Nothobranchius furzeri: one gene and its partners. The protein of the gene in region 6 interacts with the protein of the main gene of each other region in a biochemical or structural test. Links are inferred from orthologs where the notes say so. Each region holds a gene or a part of one and is shown on either strand. Other genes may lie near its edges. The genes, in order: nrip1b, histone deacetylase 4, ubiquitin-protein ligase E3A, sp1, flii, esr1 and prohibitin-2.

The links.
Region 1: the proteins of esr1 (region 6) and nrip1b form a complex in vitro, tested with the Homo sapiens proteins (4 studies listed by BioGRID, with this or other methods). The link is inferred for Nothobranchius furzeri from reciprocal best matches to the Homo sapiens genes ESR1 and NRIP1.
Region 2: the proteins of esr1 (region 6) and histone deacetylase 4 form a complex in vitro, tested with the Homo sapiens proteins (2 studies listed by BioGRID). The link is inferred for Nothobranchius furzeri from reciprocal best matches to the Homo sapiens genes ESR1 and HDAC4.
Region 3: the proteins of esr1 (region 6) and ubiquitin-protein ligase E3A form a complex in vitro, tested with the Homo sapiens proteins (2 studies listed by BioGRID, with this or other methods). The link is inferred for Nothobranchius furzeri from reciprocal best matches to the Homo sapiens genes ESR1 and UBE3A.
Region 4: the proteins of esr1 (region 6) and sp1 form a complex in vitro, tested with the Homo sapiens proteins (6 studies listed by BioGRID and IntAct). The link is inferred for Nothobranchius furzeri from reciprocal best matches to the Homo sapiens genes ESR1 and SP1.
Region 5: the proteins of esr1 (region 6) and flii form a complex in vitro, tested with the Homo sapiens proteins (2 studies listed by BioGRID). The link is inferred for Nothobranchius furzeri from reciprocal best matches to the Homo sapiens genes ESR1 and FLII.
Region 7: the proteins of esr1 (region 6) and prohibitin-2 form a complex in vitro, tested with the Homo sapiens proteins (3 studies listed by BioGRID). The link is inferred for Nothobranchius furzeri from reciprocal best matches to the Homo sapiens genes ESR1 and PHB2.

The regions. Positions count from the first base shown.
Region 1 is NC_091750.1:42,800,869-42,804,797, forward strand, and holds the start of nrip1b (nuclear receptor-interacting protein 1), read right to left. Parts: upstream 2,801-3,929; 5' UTR 2,574-2,800; coding exon 1-2,573. UniProt on the Homo sapiens protein: Modulates transcriptional activation by steroid receptors such as NR3C1, NR3C2 and ESR1. Also modulates transcriptional repression by nuclear hormone receptors.
Region 2 is NC_091754.1:47,244,973-47,249,008, reverse strand, and holds the start of histone deacetylase 4, read left to right. Parts: upstream 1-1,236; 5' UTR 1,237-1,798; coding exon 1,799-1,913; intron 1,914-4,036. UniProt on the Homo sapiens protein: Responsible for the deacetylation of lysine residues on the N-terminal part of the core histones (H2A, H2B, H3 and H4).
Region 3 is NC_091743.1:81,627,780-81,630,770, reverse strand, and holds the end of ubiquitin-protein ligase E3A, read right to left. Parts: intron 1,470-2,991; coding exon 1,349-1,469; 3' UTR 501-1,348; downstream 1-500. UniProt on the Homo sapiens protein: E3 ubiquitin-protein ligase which accepts ubiquitin from an E2 ubiquitin-conjugating enzyme in the form of a thioester and transfers it to its substrates.
Region 4 is NC_091743.1:62,035,352-62,039,629, reverse strand, and holds the start of sp1 (transcription factor Sp1), read right to left. Parts: upstream 2,801-4,278; 5' UTR 2,718-2,800; coding exon 2,711-2,717; exon of another isoform or gene 2,656-2,710; intron 2,192-2,655; coding exon 2,115-2,191; intron 714-2,114; coding exon 1-713. UniProt on the Homo sapiens protein: Transcription factor that can activate or repress transcription in response to physiological and pathological stimuli.
Region 5 is NC_091752.1:64,032,441-64,036,514, forward strand, and holds the start of flii (protein flightless-1 homolog), read right to left. Parts: upstream 2,801-4,074; 5' UTR 2,708-2,800; coding exon 2,645-2,707; intron 1-2,644. UniProt on the Homo sapiens protein: Is a regulator of actin polymerization, required for proper myofibril organization and regulation of the length of sarcomeric thin filaments. It also plays a role in the assembly of cardiomyocyte cell adhesion complexes.
Region 6 is NC_091742.1:2,865,243-2,869,415, reverse strand, and holds the start of esr1 (estrogen receptor), read left to right. Parts: upstream 1-1,373; 5' UTR 1,374-1,498; coding exon 1,499-1,509; intron 1,510-1,938; exon of another isoform or gene 1,939-2,089; intron 2,090-2,178; coding exon 2,179-2,604; intron 2,605-4,009; coding exon 4,010-4,173.
Region 7 is NC_091751.1:35,022,832-35,026,331, reverse strand, and holds part of prohibitin-2, read left to right. Parts: intron 1-3,219; coding exon 3,220-3,349; intron 3,350-3,500.

The DNA of each region.
Region 1 (3,929 bases), on a different chromosome or scaffold from region 6:
CTCTTTTTGCTGCTAAAGTCCTCAGACCTGGCAGGAGGTGGCCCCGCCTCCTCTGTGAGCTCAGACTTTACCTTCACATCTAAGATAGGTTCGTTAGAGCTGTCACAAAGGACAGTGGTGGCAGGGCTGGTCTCGTAGCACCCCCCAGCTGCCTCAGTACTCCTCCGGTAACCACCACTGGACTTGTCTTTGCGGCTGGTGGTACTGCCGGCCGACCCGGTTCCTAAAAGAAGCTGCAGCACAGTGCGCCTCTCCAGGAGGTTCTCGATCTGTGAGGAGGGAGTGGACGGCTCCTTGTGAATGAAAGGTGTGCCGCTGCCTGATGCTCCATCTGACAGTGGAGTGGTGCTGGTCCGGTGGACTGGAGCATTAAGTCTTTCCATCAAGGCCAGGGGCCTGCTGGTGTCGATCTCCTGGCCCAGGCCTTTGCTGGAGGGGATGGGCGGGGTGGAGGAGGAGGAGGAGGAGGAGGTGGTGGTGCCACACTGGGCCAGATTCTGCAACAGTTTACTGGCACTAAAGGCTGGCTCTGAGGACCTCTCAGCTGGGAAGGCTTTAGACTTACACAAATCTAGTGGGCTGGACTGAACATGGGGGGAGGGGTAAGAATACGGGGAAAGTGCACCACTCGGGTCCTGACTAAAAGAGTAGAGGGACTGGGGCGGACCTGCTGACTTTTCTATGGAGCTTCTGGTTCTGCTCTCCTCCCAGGACATCAGTCTTTTCTGCTGACTTTGAGACATGGTGGCCATAGTTATGTCAAGAGGCAAGTCCTGTGTCCCGCTGCTTTTGCTAGCCATCTCAGAGTTCCTGCGCTCGAGCAGCAGCTGCATGAGAGTGACCTTCGGGTGGGATTTTAGGTCCGGACTCATTTCTGGCTCCTTGTTGTTGGAGACGTTTGATCTGGATGGCTCTGGTTTCCACTTGTTTATTAAAGACTCCGTTAGCTTGTCCAGGGAGGAGGTAGGGAAGGAGGAGGACGAGGATGAAGAAATAGCAGTGGATACAGAGGAGACAGTCAAAGAAGAAGGTGAGTAGGATGAAGTGGAGGGCTGAGCACTGGCTTGAGGAGAGGATGATGCTGGGGTGGAAGACAGCACCATGGTACAGGAAGAGAGCACAGAGGTGACGGAAGAGGAAGAAGAGGGAGCATTTTTGGGCCCAGTGTCTTGTGCACTAGCACTGCCACGACCTCTCATGGAGAGGTCAATTGGGGAACAGCTGGAGTAGGAGCTCTCAGCATCACTGCTGTCCTTGGTCATGCTTCTCTCATGGGTGGAGCATTCACTGTCCGACGTGACAGAAGAGGAGCCGCTTGGAGGCAGAAGGCCACCGATGTCCTCCAGGTGTCCGTTCTTGGTCAGCTGCTTCTGACTGTTGTGGTTGTTCAGCAGCAGCAGCAGCAAGCTGCTGCATGTCTGCGGTGGGCGGACTGGACGAGCATCAAAGCCTCTTTTCTCTCTGGGGGGCTGGCTCGGCGCGTGGGGAGCAGCGGGTGGGGAGCTTTGGCTGTGGCCACGCAGCAGGGATGGGCTCTGAGGACTGGACACTGCCGTCCGAGGGAGTGTTGCCATCATCGTGGTAGTTGTCATTCCATTCTGAGTTGCTAAGGAGCTTAGTGTGTCTGGAGACCCCCCAACACTTGGAGGCCTTTTGTCTGTGTCGTGCTGCTGGCTGGCCATTGCAGCCAGTCTCTCGCTGGCTGATCTCCCTGAGAGCTGGGCTTTGAGAGCATGCTCTCTGGAGTACTGCTGCAGATGTGCTTCGCTGGACAGCAGCAGAGCAAGCTGACTGCAGGCCACGCTGGGCTTTGGTGAGGGGGCGGGGCTAGAACGAATTTTCACCAAGTTAGCCACTGCTTTCAAACGCTCAGCACAGGACACCGACTCAGCAGGAGCAGCAGGAGGCGTGGCGCTGTGTGCTGATCGAGGGGACTCTGGTGGCCGGTCCTGGCTGTGTCCACGGCGGCTGTAAGGGGTGTTGTTGTGATTCTGTAGTTTGCTCTTCCGCATGAGGCCTTTCAAGCGGCTGGAGGCTGTCCCATAAACAGGTAGGGGCTCTTTGTCTGCAGCTGGAGCCTTGGCTGGAGATGGACACTCACTGGTGGGTTTACTAGTGTTCTGAGACAATGCCACATTCTGAAGCTGTGATGTGAATGACTGAAGCAGAGATGCCAACAGGGTGCTCTCTCCAGCATTAGGGGATTCCTCCAGCGTTCCGTTTTGCAGGCCTCCCACTTGGCCATTCAGGTCCATGGGGGGTGAACTCAGCCGCTGGTTCCCCGGATCATTCCACGCTCCGGAGCGCAGCAGGCGAGCCTTCTTCAGGTGTTGTGAGGAACCCAGAGTCGGTCTATTAGTTCCAGCCTTGGGCGCTATTGGAGCATGGTGAGTTAGTGGGAAGGACCCCCCCACCTTGTTGCCCTGTTGCTGATTGCTGTGGACAGCCTCGGACCTCCCGCCTGCTGTGGCCCCAGGCCCGGCCACCACTGGATGCATCAGTAAACCTTCCAGATAAGTTAGAACAGCTGAATCCTTGTGTGTCTCAGGGCCAGGCTCCTCCCCATGAGTCATGTTCAATACTCAGATCCCCTCGTATTGCTTAGCACTGCTACTGGAAAATAAATGTGATCTGGGTCATCTGGTTCAGTCATGCACTGGTTAGTCACCAGAAAGAGGGCCGGTCTTGGCGCCAGGTGAGAACAGAGAAGAGCAGAAGGATGCGCTCGCTGGACTTGGATCGTTCTGAAGAGGCTACAAGCAGCAACGTGCTGAAGAAGCAACCATGCCTGGAAGCAATCTGGGGCAGGCGGCCCTCCAAGGCATTGCTGTATGCCTATAAACGCTGCAGGACCCCAGAAGGCCAAGATTCAGGTTGATGCCAGTAGCAAGCGAGGAGTCAGCAGGAATCCACCACCATGATGTTGACGCATTCCATGGTTGTCTGTTGTTCTGTCAGTGGTGTCTCTGTAGAGCTCACAGCTGAGGGGGGAGATCTATAAAAGTGAGAGATAGAGAGAAAACAGGGAGGGGTGGTGGGGGAAGGAAAAAGGGGAAAAATAGGAAACCATGTGAGAAGCAGGGATTTGCAGAGCACTATATCACATTCATTTCCCCACCTTGTCTGCCATCGCTGTTACTTAGCAACATTTCAGATTGACTGCACACGGCTCCTTCTCTCTGCACTCTTCCCTCACAGCCACCCAACACACAACACATGTAGATGAGCCTTGATTGGATTCAAATTGAAAATTCAAGCTCACTACCTTGAAAACATTCAGGTCTTGAGCTGTAAGCCTCTCACGGCTGTGTCTTTCAAAAGTGAAGGGCCTTCTGAGAGCTGTGCATAATTCTTTATGCAGCTTGCCATTTCACTGGATTAGCCCCCCCCCCCCCCCCCCCCGACTCCGTTTGCAATTGAGCTTCATCTAAAACCACACAACCCTTCATCTAGCTACAGTAAGAGCCACCCACCCACCAACAGAAGCACGCTTGCTTAAATACACGAATGAGCAGAAGTATGAGGACATACAGTCTGAAAACACAGAGGACACCGTGAAATAGTCTCTGGGCATTAAACAAGTATAAAGTATTAGGTGAATACATCTGAATTGTTGCATAATGTCTTTAATAATTAAGGTCTTAGCTCAGGCGCGTGTTAACACAATGCCAAAGAGAAAAATCATCACAGACACAAGGAGCTCCATCTCAGAAGCCTATATTAGCACGTTTAACGTTAAATGGCTGATCAGCTGAAGACACAAAGCTCTTTGTGCTAAAGACAGGGCAGCCGGGCCACGCTTATGTGTGGAAAGTTACCCTTGATCAAACCACAAGGTTTCTGAAGCAGCAACTACTGGGCCATAATGAACAGGATCAAGTCTGGAGATCTGATGAGCTGTGATTTAAAAAAATTAGTAACATCAATGC
Region 2 (4,036 bases), on a different chromosome or scaffold from region 6:
TATGGAGATAAAACATCAACGTTGCTGTTAGCCAATTAGAGGAAAAATGTCCAAATATCAGGAAGTAATCATCCTAATCCTGCCTGTGAAGCTCCGCTCTGACGTGGCTCTCTTCTAGTTCCTGAAACGGGTGCGTTCATTCGTAATAGACACCGCTGCAGATACAGTTTACATGAGTAAACTACCACTTTACTTTGGGTGAATAATTTGTACCACATGAAAAGTACTTTTTCTTTCTTTTATTCAAGTATTGTATCATAGCGTATACAGATAACACCATACCTGTTTGGTATCGACTTTACCAGGTTTTAGTGCATCATACATCAGCTTCCTGCTGCCTGTGAGGAGACGGATGCACGCACAGAGACGAGTTTCATCAGGACCAAACCTGACCGCTGCAGCCATCCAGGCAGGGTGGTGTGAGACCAATATCCTCTAGCTTCCTAGATAATAAAAGTGTGTGTGTGTGTGTGTGTGTGTGTGTGTATTTGTGTGTGTTAGCGTGTGTGTGTGTGTGTGCGGATGTGTGTGTGTGTTAGCATATGTGTGTGCGTGTGTGAGCGTGTGTGCATGTGTGTGAGCATGTGTGTGTATGAGCGTGTGTGTGTGTGTGTGTGAGCGTGTGAGCGTGTGTGTGTGTTTGCATGTGCGTGTGTGTGTGCGTATGTGTGTGTTAGCATGTGTGTGTGCGTGCATGCATGTGGGTGCGTGTATACAGGTGTGCGAGCATGTGTGTGTGTGTGTGTGTGTGTGTGTGTGTGTGTGTGTGTGTGTGTGTGTGCGCGCGTGTGTGAGCGTGTGTGTGTGTGTGTGTTTGTGTATGCATGTGTGTGAGCGTGTGTGTGTGTGAGAGCGTGTGTGTGTGTGCACCAGTCTAGTCCACAGAGAATTCCAGAAATAGACCACGGATGGTGAGACTCTCGCCTGTTTTTCTCTTTTTTTCCCCTCTGAAGGGATTTCTCGTTATTTTTTAAATCTCAAACCCGTGTTTGTGCTGATGTCTGTACACTTTATGCTCAGAATGTAAATAGATAAATAGGTGTGTGTGTGAATACACGGACCAGGTGCTGTAGAACTATAAATGCTCACAGGATGCAGAGTGAGAGAGTTATTAGTAACAGATTTAGGAGGAGGAGATGGATGCATGTTGATTGTTTTTGTGCCCCCCCCCCCCCCCCCCCAGCTTTTTATAGCCATGTCTTCCCAGGGCTCAGCAGCTACAAAAGCCTTTTCATGTTGCCACTATAATTACAGCCTACACACACATGGACATGCATGCATACACACACACTCGCTGGAGCAGCGTCTTTGTGTTGGTGTGTGCGTGCTCTGCATGTGCAGTTATACACAAAAGGGTGAGCTATTTTTACCTCCCTCCCCTCCCCTCCTCTCCATCGCCTCCTCATCCCTCTCTCCGCCGCTGCTGCTAGCCACATTTGCTATGCTGAGCACAGGCGCTATCAGTCGAGCGCCAACATCTCTCCAACTCGCTCACAAGCGAACACACACACTCACTCTCACTCACACACACCAGCTGACGAGCGCTCCCTCTGAATCCCGGCTTATTCTTTAGCTCCGTCCGAGCATCCCTGCAGACGCGCCTCAGCGTTTGCTGCTCATGGATCAGGAAGCAGCTCAGGGGCTCGGAGGTGCACAGCGGCATGTGCTCTCCACCGTGCAGATGACCTGAAGCCCCTCTCTCTCTCTCTCCCTCTCTTTCTCTCCCACCTTCTCTCTTTCTCTCTCCGACTGGTTTTAACCGCCTGATTAGCAGGTTTGTGGCTGGAAGCCCGGCTCAATGCTGCGGACCATCTTTGAAGCAGAATGCTCTCTTTCTCCCACAGAGGGAATCCTGGGAAAGGAGCCGCCGCTGGAGGTCCTCAAGACGTCGGCGCTCAACCACATCCCAACAGGTTGGTCAATCTGTGTGTGTGTGTGTGTGTGTGTGTGTGTGTGTGTGTGTGTGTGTGAGTACGTGATGTTACTATCAACCACATCCTGTGTGACTTTGCTTTTTGGATGTGAGCGAGCCGGGGACACACCGTCTACTTGACCAGGAGACACCATGTTTACATCCCCAATGTTTTATTTAAGCCGCTCCGGTGCTGCCATTTTGCTGAATGAAAATCTGGAACTCCGAATGTTTGCGCGCACGCACGCACGCACACACACACACACACACACACACACACACAGACACACACACACACACACACACACACACACACACACACACACAGCTAAACAAACCCATTGTGCCTCTCAGTCAGTTCCTGAGTCCGTTTAATGTTCCCAAAACAATCTCTTGCAGCTCCCAGTGCTATAAGTTCCCATTCCCAAGTATTCCTGAATGCAGATCCATGTTGTCCGGTAGAAATTGTACAGGAAAAGTGAGGATGAGGAGAGTGGAGCAAAACCAGAGGGGCACAGATAAGGAAGGATAAATTGGTGTTGGGATAGTGCATCCCATAATTCTGTAATAAGGAAGCTTAAACTGCTCCCAGCTTTTGGTTTTTTGCCTCCCAGGATGGTTGGGTGAGTCTAATTCCTAATTCTGACTCCCAGACAGCAGCCAACGCTCCAGCACGCTGCCGTTTCTGCTCCTAGGTTATTTTTGTTTTCACTTCCTGCTCCTGCCTCCGGCTCAGCTGATAAAATATTGAAATCCACCAGAGCATCTTCATCTGATATTCTCAGAATCTGTTGTCTTGGCTACGAAGCTGCTGGGTGGCATGTGACCCGGACCGCTTCTCCTGCACGGAGAGGAGGGTGAAGCCATCTGGGAGTCTTTAAAACGCCCTGCAGGTGAGGATCACACCTGCAGAGGCCTCCTGAACTTTAGCTCTGTGTGTGTGTGTGTGTGTGTGTGTGTGTGTGTGTGTGTGTGTGTGTGTGTGTGTGTGTGTGTGTGTGCGCACTCCCAGCACGGATCCTTTGCGTAACGCCGTTGTGTGATGTCATTAGAAGGGCGACCACCCCCCCGCCCACTGCAGCTAAAACCTGATTCTACCTGGACAACAGATGAAGTGACTGTTGGCTGCAGGACTTTTCAGAATGAGCCCTCATCTGTGCCACATCCATTAGGGCCTAAGGGGCGGGGCTTAGGCAGTCGGACCGTGGGACCCGGGCTCCACGAACCGGGCCTCCAGTCAGAACCGCCAGCCCTCGACATTGTCTGGTATAAATAGATTCACAGCAGGAGCCAGAAGAGTTGTGGAGAGCGCCGGAGGGGTCGTAAACAGATTGTGATTAGTTTGTGGAGTGTGTGTGTGTGTGTGTGTGTGCGTGCGTGTGTGTGTGAGTGTGTGTGTGTGTGTGAGTGTGTGTGTGTGTGTGTGTGTGTGTGTGTGAGTGTGTGTGTGTGCGTGCGTGCGTGTGTAGGGGGGGGGGGTATGAAGGAGTGCAGGGGTGTGCAGAGGAACCCGCTGACAGGAAAGGTCGCTGAGTTAAAGCAAACGAAAAAGCTGTCAGAATTCCCTCTGAAGGAGATTCCTTTGAATCCCGATGCCTTTTAGAGATTCCCTCTGATCCACAAACGCTCCGATCAGACTCGCAGGAGAAAAAGAAAGTGAAGCGTGTGGATTCTCTTCCCTCTGAGTCTGAGCTAAATCAGGCTGCAGATCAAAGAGGATCTTTTTTTAGACCCCCCCACCCCCCACCCCCCCACACACACCTGTCATACAGGTAAGTCTGCCCGTTGTGTAATGTCTCTGGAGCCCCCGCCCCCCGTTTGGGTCGGATGGCGGCTGCCCTCATGTCGTCCTTATCTCACACACATCAGTAAACTCCAGCTCTGGCTTGACGTCAGTGCTCTGAGACAAAGAGGTGTTCAAATCAGAGTCTATCTGTTTATCAGCGAGGCTTCTGATTGGCTGGGACGTCTGCTGTGGTAACAAAGTTCAGGATGTCTTCAAAAGCAGAAACATCTTCTGATTGGTTCTCATTAGGGACTTTAAGACTGAACCCTCAGGCTCATCCAGACCGATGCAAGGAGCCCTTCGAGACAGAAAAGAGACATTATGAGAGCAAAGGAACC
Region 3 (2,991 bases), on a different chromosome or scaffold from region 6:
CATTGGCGGAGTGCTGCAACAGCCGGCTTATGTATATGCATGAGATCCACAAGGCAATTTGCATTGACTATTTATGGCAGTAAGTGGGCGTGGTGAGGGCGGGATGTGACTAAAAAGCAGCTGAGAAACATTCTCGTTAGTCTCCGATTTATGAAGCGGAGATTGCGTGCAGCTGTGCGTACTCCACTGGATCACAAACCTACTTGGCGTAAGTACATTTTGTTTCTGAGCTTAAGTAGGGTTTTAGTAAGGATTCTACGCAATGTTTGATAAATGAGACCCCTGGTCTGTTGGAAAGAAACTCCACTCTCCTCACCTGCTGGTGATGGTTGAAGGGTCTGATGGAGCTGAATGTGTGCCCCTGGGCAGCTGCGGCTACACCACCACTAGTGTGTGTGTTGTAAGTGCCTTGGGGGTTCTGGGACTCTAGATGGCGCTTTATAAATAAATGCAGGTGCGTAGGCACCATCCACTGCTGCAGTTCCAGCTGCACTCATATATAAACACTGGTTTTGTTTTTATTTGGAATTGTCAACACAGGAAGACAAGGAAATGAAATGCTCCAAACAATAATGGCAACCTGTGGCCAAAGAAACAAACATTCTGAAAATGTCTAAGTGCACTTTACACAGCTCTGACAAGATCGAATCTAACCAACAGAGTCCCCCCAGAATACAAACGAAAAAAGCCCAAGCACTAAAAAATAAGCTACAGATTTACGATAATGTGCCGTTTTGGACCAAAGGACAGTCCTCCCTCAGATGCTTACCTTAATCATTTTTGTGTCTGTGGACACAGAAAGCAACAGGAGTGGGTGGAATGGTGAGTGAAGGCTCTCTTCAGAGGGGAGTACAGGATCTGTAGTAAAGGCTACTCTAAACTAGATCATAAGATTGGATAGATCAGGGTTACTTTAGCAAGGTTTTGTTCAATAAACTGGTTTTATTGACTTGACACTGTCCCAAATGTACATGGATTAATAGGAACCCTCCCCCTTTCCCAGAGTAGGGAAGCTACCACAACAGACAGGCATGGATGAACCCATTTTAACCTTCAAATAAATAATAAGGAAAATGATCCTCTCTGTACATGGAACATAAAGGAGGGGGTGCTTCAGGAGGTCTCTGTGCTCTCACTGACGGATGTAGGATGATGCAGGCACAGCAGCAGATGTAATAGTGCGCTGGCGTACAACCACGGGTCCTCTCATTTTCACTGATGTTTCCTTCTGGACACACACCCCCCGGCGTGGGGGGTGATCAGTCACCGTTTGGACTGGTAAAACAAGGGCGGGGCTTCATGGGCTTTCTGAGTAGGAGTCTGTTAGTAGCAGGAGGGGGCGGGGGGCTCAGAGCATGCCAAACCCTTTGGCATAGGTGATGGCTTTCAGCAGTCTCTCTCTCAGCTTGTCCTTGCTGCTGTACTCAGGCAGCAGCAGCACGTTGAAGCAAGTGTGGGACGTGGGTAACCTGGAGACAAAACACACAACACAGCTGGGGTCACCACTCACTCCCACTCAGGTTACACACGAGTCATCAGGGGCTTTTGTTTTCCAGGAGTCATTTAGGGTTGGGCATCGAGCATCGATTGGAACCGGTTGAAACCGTTAGTTTTCCCCAGAATCGTTCAAAGTTTTTTATTTCGATTCCTAGAATGCCGACTGGAAGAGGAATCCGCGGCCGATCATGAAAAATAAACGTGATCTGCAAATTGTGATCAACGCTTTTCAGAGCTGATCACACCAGCTGTCTGTGTGCAGCACCGAGTCCCCCCTCCCCCCACCCAGATATAAACAAACACGTCTGCCGAACTTTTACTCCGTAACGTAAACTTTACTCCTGCAGCGTAGAGGAAACGTGTTAAAATACGTCAACACGGTGGATTTAACAGAAGCTTTAAAGAACTCTGGACGGTGTGAGGTGAGTTTGTCTCACTGCTGAAATAAAAACACACACGGAGCATCAGCAGTCAGATGCAGCCGCTCACCAACACTCGTGTCTGTTAGATTGTTACTGACAGCAGCTACAATTAAGTTTCACTTTCTGTTCTAACTGAATGCTGCTGCTGCATGGAGGTGTAGTTCTCAGTCATCCTGGACATGATCTTCCTGAGAGTTTTAGCTGAAAACAGCTGGACGTTTCTGGATATGTTGGAGACATTAAGCCTCTCATCCCAGAGGCTGCTTCCAGACTTTGGTTGTGGTCAGAAACAAACACACTGGTTGTGCTGCAAGTCTTTCTTTTTTCCTCCAAAACATGTTTCTGTCTAAATGAAGGTGATGTTGTTGTTCATAGAGTTAAAATTAATGTTGAAGTTAAGATTATTTCATCAAGCAGGACCTGTGGTTAGCTGGCTCATGTAAAACATGCCATGTCTTGAAAGAACCGGAATCGGGAATCGATAGGAACCGGAATCAAACTGAGGAATTGGAATCGTTCAAAATCAAACAATGCCCAACCTTAGTCATGTAGCAGATATGAGGAAGAAGGTACTCTGGTGGGACCAGACCAAAATCAAACTTTTTATGGGTGGGTGTATACAAATGCACGCCACACTGGTCAGATTTTATTTGTTGTAACCATGCAAGAGTTTCATCCCACATAAAGGTGCAATTTGTGAGAAATAATCCCAAAAAGGTCTAATGTCTGTCAGGTTGGAAGAAAGGTGAAACTGGAACCGATGTCCTTCTCACACAGCTTAGAGTCTGTCAATGTTTCTCTTTTTGAAAAGAAGAAAAGTGGGACGTAGTCACCGTTTACACTCAGAGTTTGTGAGGTTGCCGAATCTGCAGTGAGCTAACTCAGCAGCTCAGGCATTTGTAATTCAAAACCAACAGGCAAAAAGTTGTTTAAAGGACAGTAGCCTGTAAACAGGAGCAACCCAGAAGTCATTTCTTGTACCCCTAAGAAGCCACAGCATCTTTTTGTTTTACTCAAATTTCAGGAGAAGCAGGCTAGAGGCTAACAATGCGCTAACAATGCTAATGGTGAA
Region 4 (4,278 bases), on a different chromosome or scaffold from region 6:
CCACCCGTTTCTCCACTACCATTTGCATCCCCTCCAGTAGAACCTGTACTGACAGGCACCAAAGTGATGTTTCCATTCAAGGATACTGGCATGTTTGCCAGAAACTGGGGCTGATTTTGTAAAACACCATTGCCTAAGATGTTCTGAATGGGGATGGCTCCCTGAAGGACACTGGGCATGGTTATGATGTTTCCAGCTGCACCAGCTCTATTGGATGCAGCAATAATCTGCTGGCCATTTGGAGAGGACACTATCTGAAACTGTTGTCCTTGTCCTGCTGCAGCAGGTTCCTGTTGAGCATGTGCAAAGTGCAGCGGTTGGCCATCTACTGTCTGAAATTGGGGTATTACTTGGTACTGTATATTGGGCATCACACCTGATATGGTGGTTAGAACCTGCTGACCTGGCACAGATGGGGCCTGAGCTACTACATACTGCTGTGGCTGCTGACCCTGAGTACTTGATGGTGACAGCACCTGTCTGCTTTTGCCATTGTCTCCTGTCATCACCCCTGAGGAATCAGTGGTGATTGTGTTAGAGCCGGAGGATGCCTGAACGCTTAGAGGAACGACCTGCCAGCCGTTGGCACTGGAGGTGAAGACACCCGGGTTTATTTCCAGCTGTTGGTCTGCGGTAGAATCGTTTTCTCCGGGGGTGTCGATTCGACTGCACGTGGCTGCCAGCAAGGCCAAAGGAGACGGCTGCTGTGAGTCCTATAATCAGTATAAATGAAGATCAAACAGGAAAATGTAAACAGACAATAATAACAGAGCATGCTATCTTACATCTATAGAGACAATTGAGTGCCAGAAATTCTGATGTGAACATTTGTTGCTGCACAAGTTTTTAGCAGACTTTCCTGAACAAAATGGATGAATTTCATATTTCAAACCAATTTTGACAGTTACTGTGATACTCTTTAGCTTTTTCTACAATGTTTGGCCTTTGCTGGGATGGCTCCAGCATACACATCAGCCTTGCTTTCTAAACATGTTCTGCCAAGATCTCGTCGCTCAGCCGATCCCAGTCTCTTAGTAGTCTCGAGGATTTAGACTGGGGGGTGACCATGCCTTCTCTTGTTTTTTTTTCTATAGACTTTTGAACTCTGGAGATTAAACATGTTCCCTCCTTGTAATGCTTCAAAGCTGGATGGTTTTTGTATCACTTTTCATTTTCCGTCTGTTAGTGGCTTATTTTTGTAACTGTATATTATTACCGTTTAGTGTGCTTTAAATTTTAGGTTTCCTTTGTACTGGTTTTATGTTTGTATTTGATTTACTTACTTTTCCATTCTCTACTTTTACCTTTTTATGTGCGTCATGCAATTTTGTGTTTTGCCTTGATTGGCAGCATGAAGGTGCTTTATAAATGAATGAATAAAACTACTCATGTAAAATCACATCCCCCAAAGCCCCATGAACTCTTTTGTCCACGCATATTCAAACTGGAGAACAATAAAAGCAACCCTAATTATTATAAACAAGATGTTTACAGCAACACAAATAAAGTGGAACATAAATTATATCTTAAACCGTGCAAGGGGATCACATGTTCTAGCATATTGTATATTGGACCTGTTAAAAAATAGGAAGAAAGGCATGATGTTTCAAGTTAAAACAAATTAGGTTCCTTATTCTAAAAGAAATCTAGCTTGTTTAGTGAAAACCATAATATCACTGCGTTTAAGTCTAGCGAGTTTCATTGAAGCGCTTGTAGGGGAGTGGGCTTCACAGAGAAAACGCATTGGGTGAGGGGACATGGGAGGGAGGGACCACATTTTCCGGAGCAGCGGCGGGCTCGGCTTCCCCTCCCCCCAAGCCCACCCATCTCCCTCCCACACTTGATTTTCGCCCTATAAACTAGCACACTTCACTAGCCACCCCCTCCAAGGAGAGCCAAATGGGCCGAGCGAAACATACAAGAAGTGCCCGGGTTAGATGGGAACACCCCGTGTGGGCGAAATTTACCTGCCCAGTTCCCACCCCGATGACATGTGCTCTGGTGAGAAAATCAACAACCCGCTCAGGTCCAGACACACACGCACAGACGAACACAACAAATTCAACAAGTGGCACACACGATGAGAACGAAATGTCGCTAAGTGGTTAACTTACTTGTGAGTTTGTGTTTCGCTTCTGGCTGAATCCTCCGCCGCTCTCCACAGCGGCCATTTCACCCTGCTGCTGCTGATCTGCGGAAGAACACTTGTAAGACTTCTTGGAACATAATAGATCAGTTATACACGAAAACAAAAATCAAACAAAGAAAAACGACTACATGTTTCACAACAAGTCAACTTAAGAATGCTTTGTGGAAGATTCGGGTTGGAAAACATTTCAAGCCCTCACAAGGCCAGTTAGCTTGTGAGCTAACGTGAACTCAGCACAAGTAATAAACAATAAACTAGTTAAGCATTAATTAAGTGCACCAACGCAGTTTCCACCGTTCTGATAAAACATTACCGCTATTTTTTGTTTGAGGAATACCATAACCTACAATTCTAAAGAGGGGACAGCGTCGTTTTCTAAAGAACCACTAACAAGTAGCGTTAAGTAACAATAAACTAACGTCACTTTAAAACTGCTTCAGACTAGACAACAATGCAGCGCAAAATCCACCACTTAATACAAATAACACGATGTTGCTACGTCATACCCTTGAGTTATAAGTACGCACGTAGTATGCCTCCAAGTTTTAAAAGTCCACTTACTGCTCATAATTAGAAGACGGGAGGAGTTTCTGCTCTTTTTTCAGCTTGACAACTTTTCACAACTTCACACAAACTTAAGTTCCCCCTCCCTTTGAAGTAGGCGTATGAGTGCGTTCGATTTATGTAAACTAGATTCGAGATGGTGCAATGAACTTCTCAAACCTATTTCAAGTTAGACTACTTTTTAACTAGAGATTATAAAAATATAATTTGTGAAACTTAAGTGAGCCAGTAGATGACATTTTGAAAGAATGCTGGGTTTTCTTGGCGCTTAAATCAAAGTAAAACCGACTCCTGAACTTATCATAGACATGTACAAGTTACAAGGCAGAAATGAAACGGTAGAGTGAGTACCGCCACACATGCTGTAAATAATTCAATTCAAACCGATTTAAACTCGGAATATTTAAGATTTTTTTTTTCTTTTTCGTTTGGTAGTACGCGTACCGTACTGTGCCGAAAAAAAAACAAGCGCTCCTCAATCAGCAATACGGGTGATGGAATAATCCATTGTCCAATAGAATTGTTTGTCTCGCCTAAAGAGCACCAGTTGACTAATCTAATTTCACCATAGTTGGAGGGGTGGGCGGGATTAAGCACGGTAGGTTGTGCTCTTGAGCATGATTGACGTCGGGTTATTTGTTTTCCGCTAAAACGACGTCACTATAGTTTAGTCCACGTAAATACTGATAATTCGCTTAGCCCCGTCTTGAAGTGGAGTCAAATTTCAACAGTGAAACAACGCCAAACGTTGTTAATGTCTCTGGCCACAGAGGTGGGAAGTAAGGAGGGCTGAACGAGTGCTTGAGTCTTGCCTCCGTGGCCGTTGGCCACTCCCTTGTGGCTTTGTGAGTCGGTAAACAGTAATGTGGCGGGAGGAGTCAGAAAGGGTGGAGAAGAACCCTCATAACACTCACCACACTGGCTACTATGCTGGGCTGGGAGTGGAAGATGGTTGGACTGGGAGGGCTTTTATCTCTGCTAGGGGCTGTCATTGAAATAGCACATGTGTCCATGTATAAACATGTCAGAGGGTGGAGTCCATACATCCATACCACCCTGGCCTGTCTGTTTACACACACACACACACACACACACACACACACACACAATTGAATTTGATTGATTTAGTCAGGTTCAATATTGTGTTCAAATTGCTATGTTTAATCCTGTTATGTAGAACAATTAAGTGCCTTCTGGTTTCTATGCTTATCACAGGATTTATCTATGTTATCACTTCACAAGTACTCTAAAGAAATGCTGTTGGGTAAAAAGTTAGCACAAAAAATGTGCTAAAATCAGGAAATATCAAATAAACAGGATATAACCGGGGCAGTGCTAGTGGAAGGTGTCCAAGGTGTGCCAGTGCCACCCTGACAGCAATCATGGACCTCGTGCCGCAGAGCCTTAACATTAAGTTCTGCTTATTTGAACAAAAGCATGTCAAAGCATTTATCTGGTATAGTAGATGCTTATACAAATATTTTCTTGTTGTTATACCAAAATAATAACCCAGATAACACATTTTGTGCAAAAAAGTCATACTCTGAGACATATTGGAAAGGTGT
Region 5 (4,074 bases), on a different chromosome or scaffold from region 6:
AGCTGAGAAGTTTGTTCTCTCGGTGCTGGGGCTCGTTCAGACGCCCACACAGTAAAAAAATGTAAATGACGACTTTAGTCGTCACTGGTAGTGAATGAGTCAATAACTAATTTTTGTGTATTTTTATAAATTGCAGGAATGACTGAGTATTCAAACTGGAATTTGAAGGGTTAAAATCCTCAAAAGGACAAAGTTTTTGTGGATTTGAGCAGGGCTCAAGTTGTTTAACAAGTCTATGAAAAAAAGCCTAAAATATATGAATGTAAACATTTTTTATAGCCTTTTTTATGAGCAGACCGTTTTGTCCTCAAATGTCACAACAGGATAGTGTTTTTATTTTTTCATAGTGTTCCCTTAGTCTTTTTTCAAAAATCCAAATTGAATTTCAAAATTTGTCAAGAGAGAGGTTTAGCGACAAAATTTTACACCACATGCACAAACACTGCAAAAAAAAAAAAAAAAGTCGTCCAAACTAAAAGGGAAAAATGCCCAAATGGACAAAAATGTCTCCAACGACACCTGAGGGTTAAATACGCAGGTTCTGTTTTTATGTATAAGAAATGGTTAATCTGGTAATTTTGATTATTTAGTCTGAAATAGAAGTTGAAAACAATTTTTATCAAAAAAAATTCAAATATATAAAATTTGTCTGCATTTTTGTAATACTTAATAATTATCCAGCATACTAGGGTTGCACAATACATCGCATATGTAGCATCATCGCAGTATCAGCATGTGCAATACGCAAATCACAAAGAACAGAAAATAAATTAGGTCAGCTCAAATGTTTGATACACAAAACGCAATTTGTCAAACAGAAGCATGACATTTTTGTCTAATCAGTTAGAGCCCTTCACCAGTTTGGCCAGTCAGGTGGGTTCTTATGGGTTAGACCTCAAGGTGGATGGATGGCTAGCAAACACTGGAGTTAGTTTAAGTGTCGCGGGTAAGATAAATAACCCACGTTTAAAACAGCACATCTCTTATGTCAAGACATTTTGGTTACGAGAGACACAACGTTCAACAAACACAAGTACTTTGCAAGACATGCCAAACACTTGTGGCATGCATGAGGGGAAATACGACAAACCACTGTTGTCATCAACCATAAATATCTATATACGGGGCTTCAGAAAGCTAGCGTTGGCAAGCCCAAAGTCTCTGATGTTAAGACAAGAGCACAACAGCCCACCAGATGCCAATCTGTCAGAGTTTTGTGGGTGGAACGCTCTATGAGAAACCATCAAAGTGGCACAAGGAAATAACGGAGGCCCTTGCACATTATTTGGCTATGGCTTTGATGCCAATGAGTACAATGAGCCGAGAGCCACAAACGGAACAACTGGGTCAAGGGGTCCAGTGCAGTGGGTAAGTGCATTAATGGCTGCGGGAGCAAACATATCCGTTTAGCTCTGAAAATGTTCAACAGTGTTGTCCTATATGTCCCATAGCTCCAACATATTTAAAGTTTTTACAATTTTTTTTAAACAGATCAGCTAATTTTGTAATGTCAACTTTAATGATTTCATTTTGTTAGTGTTAATACTTAGGATAGACGATGGAGTGGCGTGTCTAAAGTGTTTATGATTCAAAACGAGCACTGCTTATTTAAGCATTTGTTTAATTATTGCAAGTCATTGCAATATTAATCACGGTAATCAAAGGTTTTCCTAATATCGTGCAGCTCTACAACACACACACACACACAGTCTGATAGATCCATTGTAAAACCTTATCTGACCCATGAGGCATAATTGCACTGTTTTCCTAGAAATAGCTTTAATTACTGATTATAATTATAGAAATAATGCGGCATTCACATGACGTCATACATCTATTTGATGACTGACACAAAAAGAGAAAACCAGACATTTAGAGCCAGACAGGTATTTTGTGGGTTTGGATTGAGACCCCAACTAACTGTATAATTGAGAAATGTTGTGACTGTAGCATTAAAGGCCTCTTGGCCAGGACTCCCTTGAAAACGAGGCTTTTAACCTTCCTGATGAAATAATAAATGAATATCCTTAAATTACTTATTTTTTACCTTTAATAATATGTAAAAATGCATTGACCGATTATTATTGGTCAAGCAGAAACTAATCTGAACCCACTGACATGATTAAATCCTTTAAGGGCCGGTTTTAAATTTAAATACTTACATATTTGGATTTTACACTGGTCTGCTTGCTGGTCATCTATTTGTTACTTGACGTTTAACAACTATAGTTTAATAAGTCTCCTATCAACTCGGGCATCTAAAATTCATCCACAGCTTTTATCCCACTTAAGGTGAAAATGTTAACATCATACGCTTCTGACCCAAACAAATAAAAGTTAGCCTTCGACGTTTAGCCAAATTAGCTGGGTGACGTGACGTTAGACGTAGCTAGTAGTTTGCCTCTAAACAAATAAAAACGTTCACAGAGTCAAACTAAAAGGGCAGCCCTTTCTCTAACAAAGATCTACCAGATTTAGACGAGAAGGAACAACAACTTCGTCAGTTTGACAACTGGCTAACGCCCATTGCTCCTGAGCTATGTTGGTCAGTCATTTTCTGATGAGTCTCATTCCCGCAATAGCTTCAGCTAAGCTAAAGACGTAAACTGATCTAAAAGTGAAAAACGGTGCTCTTAATCCTTACTTTAAAGTCGTTTCCACTGAGGTCGACCCCCCGAATGAAGGGAAGAACTCCGGTGGCAGCCATTTTTGACGAACTGATGTCAGTTTTTCTGTCTATTTTGGTCCTAACAGAGGTAGGGAGTGGATCCTTCTTCTTCCTTTTATTACAACCATGCCACACTCATGAGCAGTTTACCGCCATCTGCTGGCTATGTGCTGTATTGCGTCTGTGTGGGGATTAAAACCTTGCGTAAGAGCGCCCTCAAGCAGTCATATGTAAATACAACACTAAAATGAACACATTAACCGGTAGAACAAAACAGCACAGCAAGAAAGCAAAAATAAATAAATAAATAAAATAAACCCACAAACTAAATAATAAACATTATCTGCATTTGATTTGAATCATTCAATTATTTTTATTATTATTTTTTTTCAATCTTTTATTTTCATTTATTGACATAAAAATAAAAATACAGAACTAAATTGCTGCAAGCCACAATGAAAAAGGGGACAGAAAGAAGAAAAACTTATGTTGTCTGCCCCTTTTAACTAAAATAACATTAATACAAATGAAATAATCATATGATTCTTAAAGAAATTGAACAATATAGTTCTTGGACTTGTTGGCCGACACAATCTCAACCCATGAATTGAGAAAAAAAAAGAAAACAATTTACACAGAAAGAAGCATTAAGTTATAGATCTATATACATACATATATATACACATACGACTACATACTAGTTGTTTTTTTCCCTTTCATCACCCCCTCCCCTCACACATTTATGTAACGGATCTATATAAGTTAATCATTTTATTTTTTATCTCTTTTATACATTTGTTTAAGGGATTGAAATACTTTTTTCACTCTCTTTGTTTATAGTGTCACAGTAATTCATTGGGAAATAAGGAAGTACAACAAAAGACAGTCAACATTCATTGGTATAATCCAGTAATGAAAAAGAATGGGAATTTTCTGCCTTCGCTGTCAAAAAACAGAACAACACTCTGGTTTCACTTTGAACATCTTCTATTCGTTAACTCTATGTGTTTTGTCATATTGTGTTCCTTGGTTAATGTAAAACAGGAAAAAAAGGTTATTCTTTATCTTTTGCTAATTTCACACGTTCCTCAGAACCTCAGAGCTGTGTACTCTGAGTGCTCACGTTTTTGTGCGTCCTCAAAATTAACTTTCACGTGAATTTTCTTTACTTTGCTGGTTATTTATATCTTTATTATGCGTTACCCTAAAAGTTTGTAGGACTTCCTTCCAAAAGATTATCAAGAAGCTACCAAAGTGATTTTAAAAGCATGTTTTATCTTCAAAGTAAAAGCCGTATCTTTAAAATGCAGAGGGGTTATACAGGGCTTCATCAAATGTAGTCTTAATTTGAAAATCCTCTAAACGGAAGTTCCGTACGTCCAACACCGTGGTGACATCACCCTTCT
Region 6 (4,173 bases):
TCTCAGTGCCAGTGATAGGAATGCATCAAAACGAGAAAACCTCGGCTTAAATCAAGCGAACTAGCGCTGCATTATGACCAGTTCCTCTGTTTACGGGATGGTAAAGTGTTATGGGGGGCAGTGCAACAATAACGGCGACAACATTCGTCCTGTTTGGTGTGAAAGTGGAACCAGACCTCTTTTACTTCATAGATAAAACTGGAAGCTTATGTGCACACAGTTCTGTCAACTCAATGAAACCTGTCCTTTTTAAATTGGTGGTGATTACTGGGTTTTTGGGTGCATGGAGCAAATTGTGTTGTTTGCAAAACTAAATAAATAACTGCAGTGAATGGACCTTATCCCACATTGTCATGCTTTTTACAGAAGACGGATGGGAACCATGAATACTGGATTTGTCAAATCCAGTTTTTGAAAACTGGATCAAGATTTTTGCCAACACTTGATTGTTTTGATGAAGATCAGGAACAGGCTCCATCTAGGAGCTGAAATTTGCACCAAAAAGTCACAAAATGCTGCAACGTTCTGGATGAGCTACAAAAAAAATTCAGGCTTTGTCATGGTGGTCCTTCAGGAAAATGGAGTCATTTACTGCCGGAAGCTTCCTATCTTGTGCCATTTAGGCGATTTGCTGCAGCCGTTTCTCACCCTTGGCTTTTGCTGTTTCCCACCATCTTAATTTTATTTCAGGAGAAATGCAGAATGCTACGTAAATCATCAGAGCCACTTGTTTTCCACTTGACCTGACATCTCCTGAAGATGATGCTGTGAAGTCAAGAAAAGGTGAAGATGAAAGAAAGCTCCGTGCCCCAGTTATTTTGGTCTTTTCCAGTGGTTGCTGCAACTCGTCTGCTTTTGTAGCATCTATGCTCGCTTTATCTTGTTCCCTAAACTTAAAAGAACATTATTTCTAATTTGACGGCTGAGCCTATTTGGGATTTGATTAAAGTATCTAAACTTTTTCTGAGTATTTGCTGCCTTGATGTCTTTTCCCCAACATCCCAGGACATCAAAGGTCCCTGATGGTCCCAAACCTGAAACTTTTGCACTGCACAAACAAAAACTGTCCCCTCGCATCTTTGCACAAATCCTTTTTAATCTGCTGCTGATGATTCATTATGACGCAACACCAACCTGTAGAACCAGAAAAATCCTTCCATTTCCTGCAGTTTCATTCTAAACTTCACAGAAAGATCACTTAGATTGTGCATCTATTGTAAAAAACATCCATCTACACCCTTATTTGGACTTGGTTGCATAATTATTGTCCGTCAGAATGAGATTTGACCTCCCGCTTTGTTTGCTGTGTTATGGTGACCTGGCTCCTAAACGCACCATGGCTATTGATTTGGCTGCATCTTTAATTTGTTTATCCGTTTTTAAACCTTTCCACTGTTCCCAGCGAGTCCGACGAGCCCATCTAGATGCCTGTGAGGCAGGCAGAGAGGAAGGGAGAAGGAAATCAGCCGCCGTTGCGCAGCATATCTGAGGATGATTCATGTGTGAGAGGTGAGTGGAGTCTCATGCAGGATTTTTTTTATTGTTTTTTAGCTCGTGAGTTGTGAAGCTGTTTACTTTTATCCCGTTTTCACAGCGATCGGCTGCCGTGCATCAGGTGGATTTAGTCATTAGGCTGCAAATAGAGCGGGGATCTTTGCTGTGCGCTCAGGATCATCTAAATGAAGGAAGAATATTCAGAGATAGTCGTGCTGCTATAGAGTTTCCTCCTGTCTGGCATCCAGATGCAGCCGCTAAAAGCTATTTAATGCAAAGGTGAAGTGGAAATGGCCATGTGGAGGAGAGGAGACGGGGAAGTTATTTGGGAATCACTATTTCTGTCATTCCTTCTTGTCTTTTCCTCTCTCCCACCAGCTTTCCCTGACTCCCACACTTTAAAGGAAAAGAGGGAAACACTACACTCAGGAAAAAAATAACGAAGTGGATTGGGAGGAGTCTTTTTTTTAGAGCCTGTTGAGCAGAACCTGAAGGCAGACAGAGCAAAAGAGGACTCAGAGGTCTCTCCAAGTTGCTTGACAGGAGTTCTAGGAGAGACGAGATCCAGAGAGAGAAAGAAGAGAGGAAGGAGAGGGTGAGCAGTACTCCTCTCTCCCACCCAACAAATGGGAGAGCGGGTCTAAATCATGTTGCTTATCAGTGCTGTTGTGCTGTGATGTTCAGGCAGAGCCCGCTGCAGAGCAGGAAGCAGTTTGGACCAGCGCTCCGAACCAGGATCAGCCCAGCCTCCTCAGAGCTGGAGACCCTCTCCCCACCTCGGCTCTCACCCTCGCCCCGTGCCCTCCTCAGCGACATGTACCCTGAAGAGAGCCGAGGCTCTGGAGGGGTCGCCGCTGTGGACTTCCTAGAGGGGACGTACGACTACGCCGCCCCCACCCCTGCCCCAACTCCTCTTTACAGCAGCTCCACCACAGGGTACTACTCTGCTCCTCTGGACGCCCATGGACCTCCGTCTGATGGCAGCCTGCAGTCTCTGGGGAGTGGGCCAACCAGTCCTCTGGTGTTTGTGCCCACCAGTCCAAGACTCAGCCCCTTTATGCACCCTCCCGGTCACCACTATCTGGAAGCTGCTTCAACTCCCATCTACAGGTATGAGATTTGAATTTAAACGAGCGTGCACCACTCGTTAATCACTGATGGTGAGCACAGGCTGGAGCAGGACTTGATAGAACTGCTAAGATCAAGTCAATCTAAAATGTCAGATGAGTTTAGTCAATTATTAATAAAGACTTTAGGAGGCCATTTCATAAAAAATATATTTAAAAAATACTTATTTGGGTGTATTTCCCCAATTTTTTTCATGGTTTCATTTTGATGCAAATTACTGCTGCATAATTATACACTTTATTTCTAATTTACCACAAAAAAATCACAAGAAAGTTAAATGAAAAACTGCTTTTAGACATTTTGTTTTACAGGTGAAACTCAAAAAATTAGAATATCGTGCTCAAGCCCATTTATTTCTGTGATCCATCTTAGACTGAGAGACCATCTAAAGGCCCAGGAACCCTGTGCAGATGTTTATGATTCATTAGCTGATTAGAGTGTGACACTTTGAGCTTAGAATATGGAACATTTTCACAATATTCCGATTGTCTTGAGATTTTGAATTCGGGGCTTTTTATAAGCTGTACACCACAATCATCCCAATTATAACAAAGAAAGGCTTAAAATATCTGGCTTTGCATAGAATGAGTCCATCTCATTTATTAGTTTCACCTTTTAAGTCAAGTTACTGAAATAAATAAACTTTTGCTTGATATTCTAATTTTCAGAGTTTCACCTGTATTTTTAGTCTAAGAAAAAAAACATTCTTATGTAATGAGGTAAATATTCTTTGATTTATTCACTAGTTAATATAATGATAAATTCATATTTTTTGCACTCAAAATAAGAAAACTTGGTCATATTTAAGAATATTAAACTTTTTTCAATTAGTTTTGTTTTTGCAGATAACGTTTTTTTACATAAATAAGAAAAAATGTTCAAAATCAAGACTTTTTTTTAGCTTTTTTGAAAATCACTTTTTGCAGTGTATAGCATTGGCGGTTTGGTTGAGTCGTTAAAACGCCTTAAAACAAAACATAATTAAATAATCGCAGAGCTTTTTATCTCTAGCTTCAAACAAAACAGCACTATTATCTCTCTGTAAAGGATCAAGCGCTGTCCGGGTTTCTAATTCCAGAGATTAAGGACTTGGTAAAGGACCTTGAGAGAGGAACAATACGTAAGAACAACACAAGTGCACATGCAGTCTCAGGTGGAAAACACGAGGCCTCTGTCATTTTTAAAGTCACTATGCAAAGGTTCACCTCTCATCTGGAATGGATTTAATGGCTCTAAACACTTTTAAAAATGACAAAACTGGTATTTGTTCTGCATAATCGTCTAAACATTGCTTTTTATCCTCATATGCTAATAAAAAACTGTTATTTATAGTGTTTTATGAGTACCGCAGTTTAATCAACAAATTAAAATTCATGACTCGTTGCAGATCCAGTCACCAGCCAGCCTCCAGAGAGGACCAGTGTGACGCCCGTGACGAGGCATTCAGTGTGGGGGAGTTAGGAGCCGGAGCTGGGGGGTTTGAGATGGCCAAAGAGACACGTTTCTGTGCCGTGTGCAGCGACTACGCCTCTGGGTACCACTATGGGGTGT
Region 7 (3,500 bases), on a different chromosome or scaffold from region 6:
AACAGAACAACATATCTTCTTACGTTCGTAATCCTGTTTGTCTCATGCTTCAGCAGTGTGTTGTAGTCAGTGTTATTAACTGAAAAATATTAAATAATTACTTGTCTTCACAATCACATTTTCTTTATTATTGGTCTCTCCATTTGTGCTTCCATTTATGGTGCATGTTCGTGTTGATACAGCAACCAGCAACGTATTGTACAAAAAATCCCAAATAAAACTAATAATGTAAAAAGTTTATAAACTATTTCAAACTGTGGGGAATATTTTTAAAACGTAGAATCAAACAAGCTGAAATAAACCCGTCTACAGCTCGTCCTACTCACAACCAACAAGCTGCACACAGTTAGCTCATTAAAGGTTATCTAGCTAAAACTGGCAACATAAAATACCATCGTTGGCTTATTTTGGTACGAAGCGGTTAGCTAACGCTTCACAATGCAACAAAATGATGACATTTCATCAACTTACCAGAGAGAATCCTTCCGAAACACCGAAAATGAACAGTAGTCAATGCAGCAGCGGGGGCTGTTTGGAACTATTCGAAGCTACATGAACCACGTGACTCCCGCATTCCGTGACGTAACTCTCTCTACAGCTCTGACAAAACCCTGCCCTCCTCTCCCAATGATTGGACAGGAATTTGAGAAACGTGATTGGTAGCTAAGACTCGTGCTCTCATTGGTTCCACCCAAGTTCCTCCCACTGACGCTAGAATCGAGACAAAAAGATCCGTAACACTGTAGATTTGAGGTTTGTACCTGTAGAATGAAATGCGTGTTTTGAGAGTTTTGATTTCAAACTTGTACCTTGATTTTTTCAATTTGGAAGTCTGCTAGTTACAAAACGAAAGTTTCATGTTTCTGAATGAATGTTTGATGTTACTGAATGAGTAGTAAATGTTCAAAATAAAAGTTTGATTTTACAAAATAAAAAATACATGTACAAAATGAAAATTTCCTGTTACAAAACAAGAAATACAAGTACAAATTGAGAATTACAAGTTAGAAAACTAAAGTTACAAGTTACGAATCCAAAGTTACATGTGATGAAACATGTTCGGAGTTACAAAACTTGGTACAAGTTACGCTGAATATTGTCTCAAACCTAGCTCCATAGGTTTCCCCCAGAAAATGAGTTAAGCCTGGCAAATTCCTGCAGCGCTCCTCTGTGAGAGCGGGGGTGGGTGGTTGCACACATTCCGCTGCTGTTTCTCACCAGTATCAGCTGATGGAGGGCTCTAGTTTCGTTGCGCCGTCCGTGTCAGCGGACTCGGTAGGATCAGGGAGGGGGGGCGGGGCATGACCATCGACATATAAATATTGGACAATGGGTTTCCATAGGCTCCAATAACACATTTTTGAAGATAAATGGGAGGTGGCCACCACCGCCATTTTGACCGTGTCACAGGTTCCATCAAGCCCAGACAATTCCGCAAAAGGGAAGAGAGGAGGAGCTGAGGGTGGGGCTATAAGGCTGGGATCAACTGACGACACCCGGTCGAACTAGCTACAAGCTAAACTGAAGCTAACCCAAAGCTAATGCAGAGGTGGGAGCAAAGCTAACGGAGGTAGCAACCTAGCTACAACCGGAGTTAACTGTGCACAACACCAGAGCTTCTGAGTCAGATACGCCGGGCTGACCGCAGGGTAAAACCGGGTGGAACACAGAGGTCTCCCGAGAGCTCCACAAGCCGGCAGCCGCACAGCAGACAAGCGCCGCTGCGATCTGAGATGCGCAGAGCTGCCGCTGGGGAGAACCGGGTGGAAAATGTCGGTCTCCTGAGAGCTCCACAAGCCGATAGTCGGAACCCAGCTCCACCAACATGTTATATTTCAACCCATTTTCTAAAGTGCAGCATTGTGTTAAATGCACTGGGGTTTACCCTATTACATTTAAATTTCATGGTTTAACAGTACAAGTTAAAATCTAAGGCTTGGCAGTGACCTAAAATACATAAATATAATTTTACTTACCGAAAAATATGAAGTGGAGGCTCCTTGGATGCTCTATTAGTGCAATTAATACCACGGCAAGTCATTTTGTCCAACAATTGCACAAAAAATATCCAAAAAAGAATACACAAACACAGAGGCTCAAAATCCCGGAACAGTTTCCAAGCCAGGCCGAGGCTCTACTGAGGCCTTTCCACGGAGCTAGCTCTGTGGTCACGTGGGTCTGATGCTCATTAATTATACAGAATTTTAGGCTTTTAATACACTTAAACAGAAGAGTGAGAAAAAATTCACCCCCCTCAGAGTTGTCATGAGTGTAAACTAGATAATTTAAACCTAAAACATGTTTTGGTACCAGGCTGTAAACATGTTTATTTCTGCTGTGAAATTGGTATTTTTAACATGGGAGTCAATGAGGATTTGCTCGCTTCTGACACCAGCCCCCAGCGAATGAGGGTGGAACTGCAATTTTTGGTACTTCCGGGTTGGGCTCAATTTTTGAGCCGCATTGTGGGGGCTTGGGCATGACGCGTAGCCTGGCGGGTGGTCAAGCAAAGCCTGGCGGGCCGCCAGGCTTATAAAGCGCTGGGGGAAACCCTGAGAAATGAACCACTGGGTTCAAACTAAATAACAAACCAAGGCAAACATTTAGTCTGGTGTCATTTCTTACACCCTTCAGCATAAATGTGTGACTCTAAAGCTGCTCACAGAAATTAAAAGCTCATTTATGAACCTATTATGGATTTTAGAACTTAATTAAAGGCCAGAATTGGACGTGGCCTCTGGGTTTTCTGGGTTTTTAGGATTTTGTGAGCATTTGCAAAGCTTTTCTCAGACTGAGATGTGACTGTTGAATGAGGAAACAGATTTCTTTAGTTAATCTTTTTAAATGTTTAAATTGTTTTGCACTTTCACATTGTCCTAATTGTTGTGTCAAAGCAACAATCTGACATCTATTCATGGATGAAAACAAATCCAGATGAAATAATCCAGATGCATTCTTGGTATCGGGAGACAGTGAAGATCCTCACCTGTAGCCAGCTGGAATCAGAACATTGGTGATGTTAACCATGTGTTTGTCATCTTCTGGTTCCTCGTGGATGACAAATGAAATGAAACTGAATATTTGATCATATTTTTTTATTTCTGTTGGTGGTCCTTTTGGACAAGCGGTCCCATAACTAACCAGCTAACCTGATCCACCTGCTCAGAGCAGCTGGTGTTAGTTCTGGTCTCGGCCCGGCTGACGGCGTCCTCTCTGCAGGTGTCCCTGCTGATCCGTAGGGAGCTGTTCGAGCGAGCAAAAGACTTCAACATCATCCTGGATGACGTTGCCATCACCGAGCTCAGCTTCAGCCGAGAGTACACGGCCGCCGTGGAGGCCAAACAAGTCGGTGAGTAAACAGGAAGTGACCTCCAGCTGATATTCTATGTGACTAATACTGATTTATTCTAAAGAAGAAAAACTTCTTATGTGTCCTTTTTCAACCCAAAATCTCATCGAGAGCTTTGCAGATGATTTGTTGAGCTGTTTCTGTGCGTCTG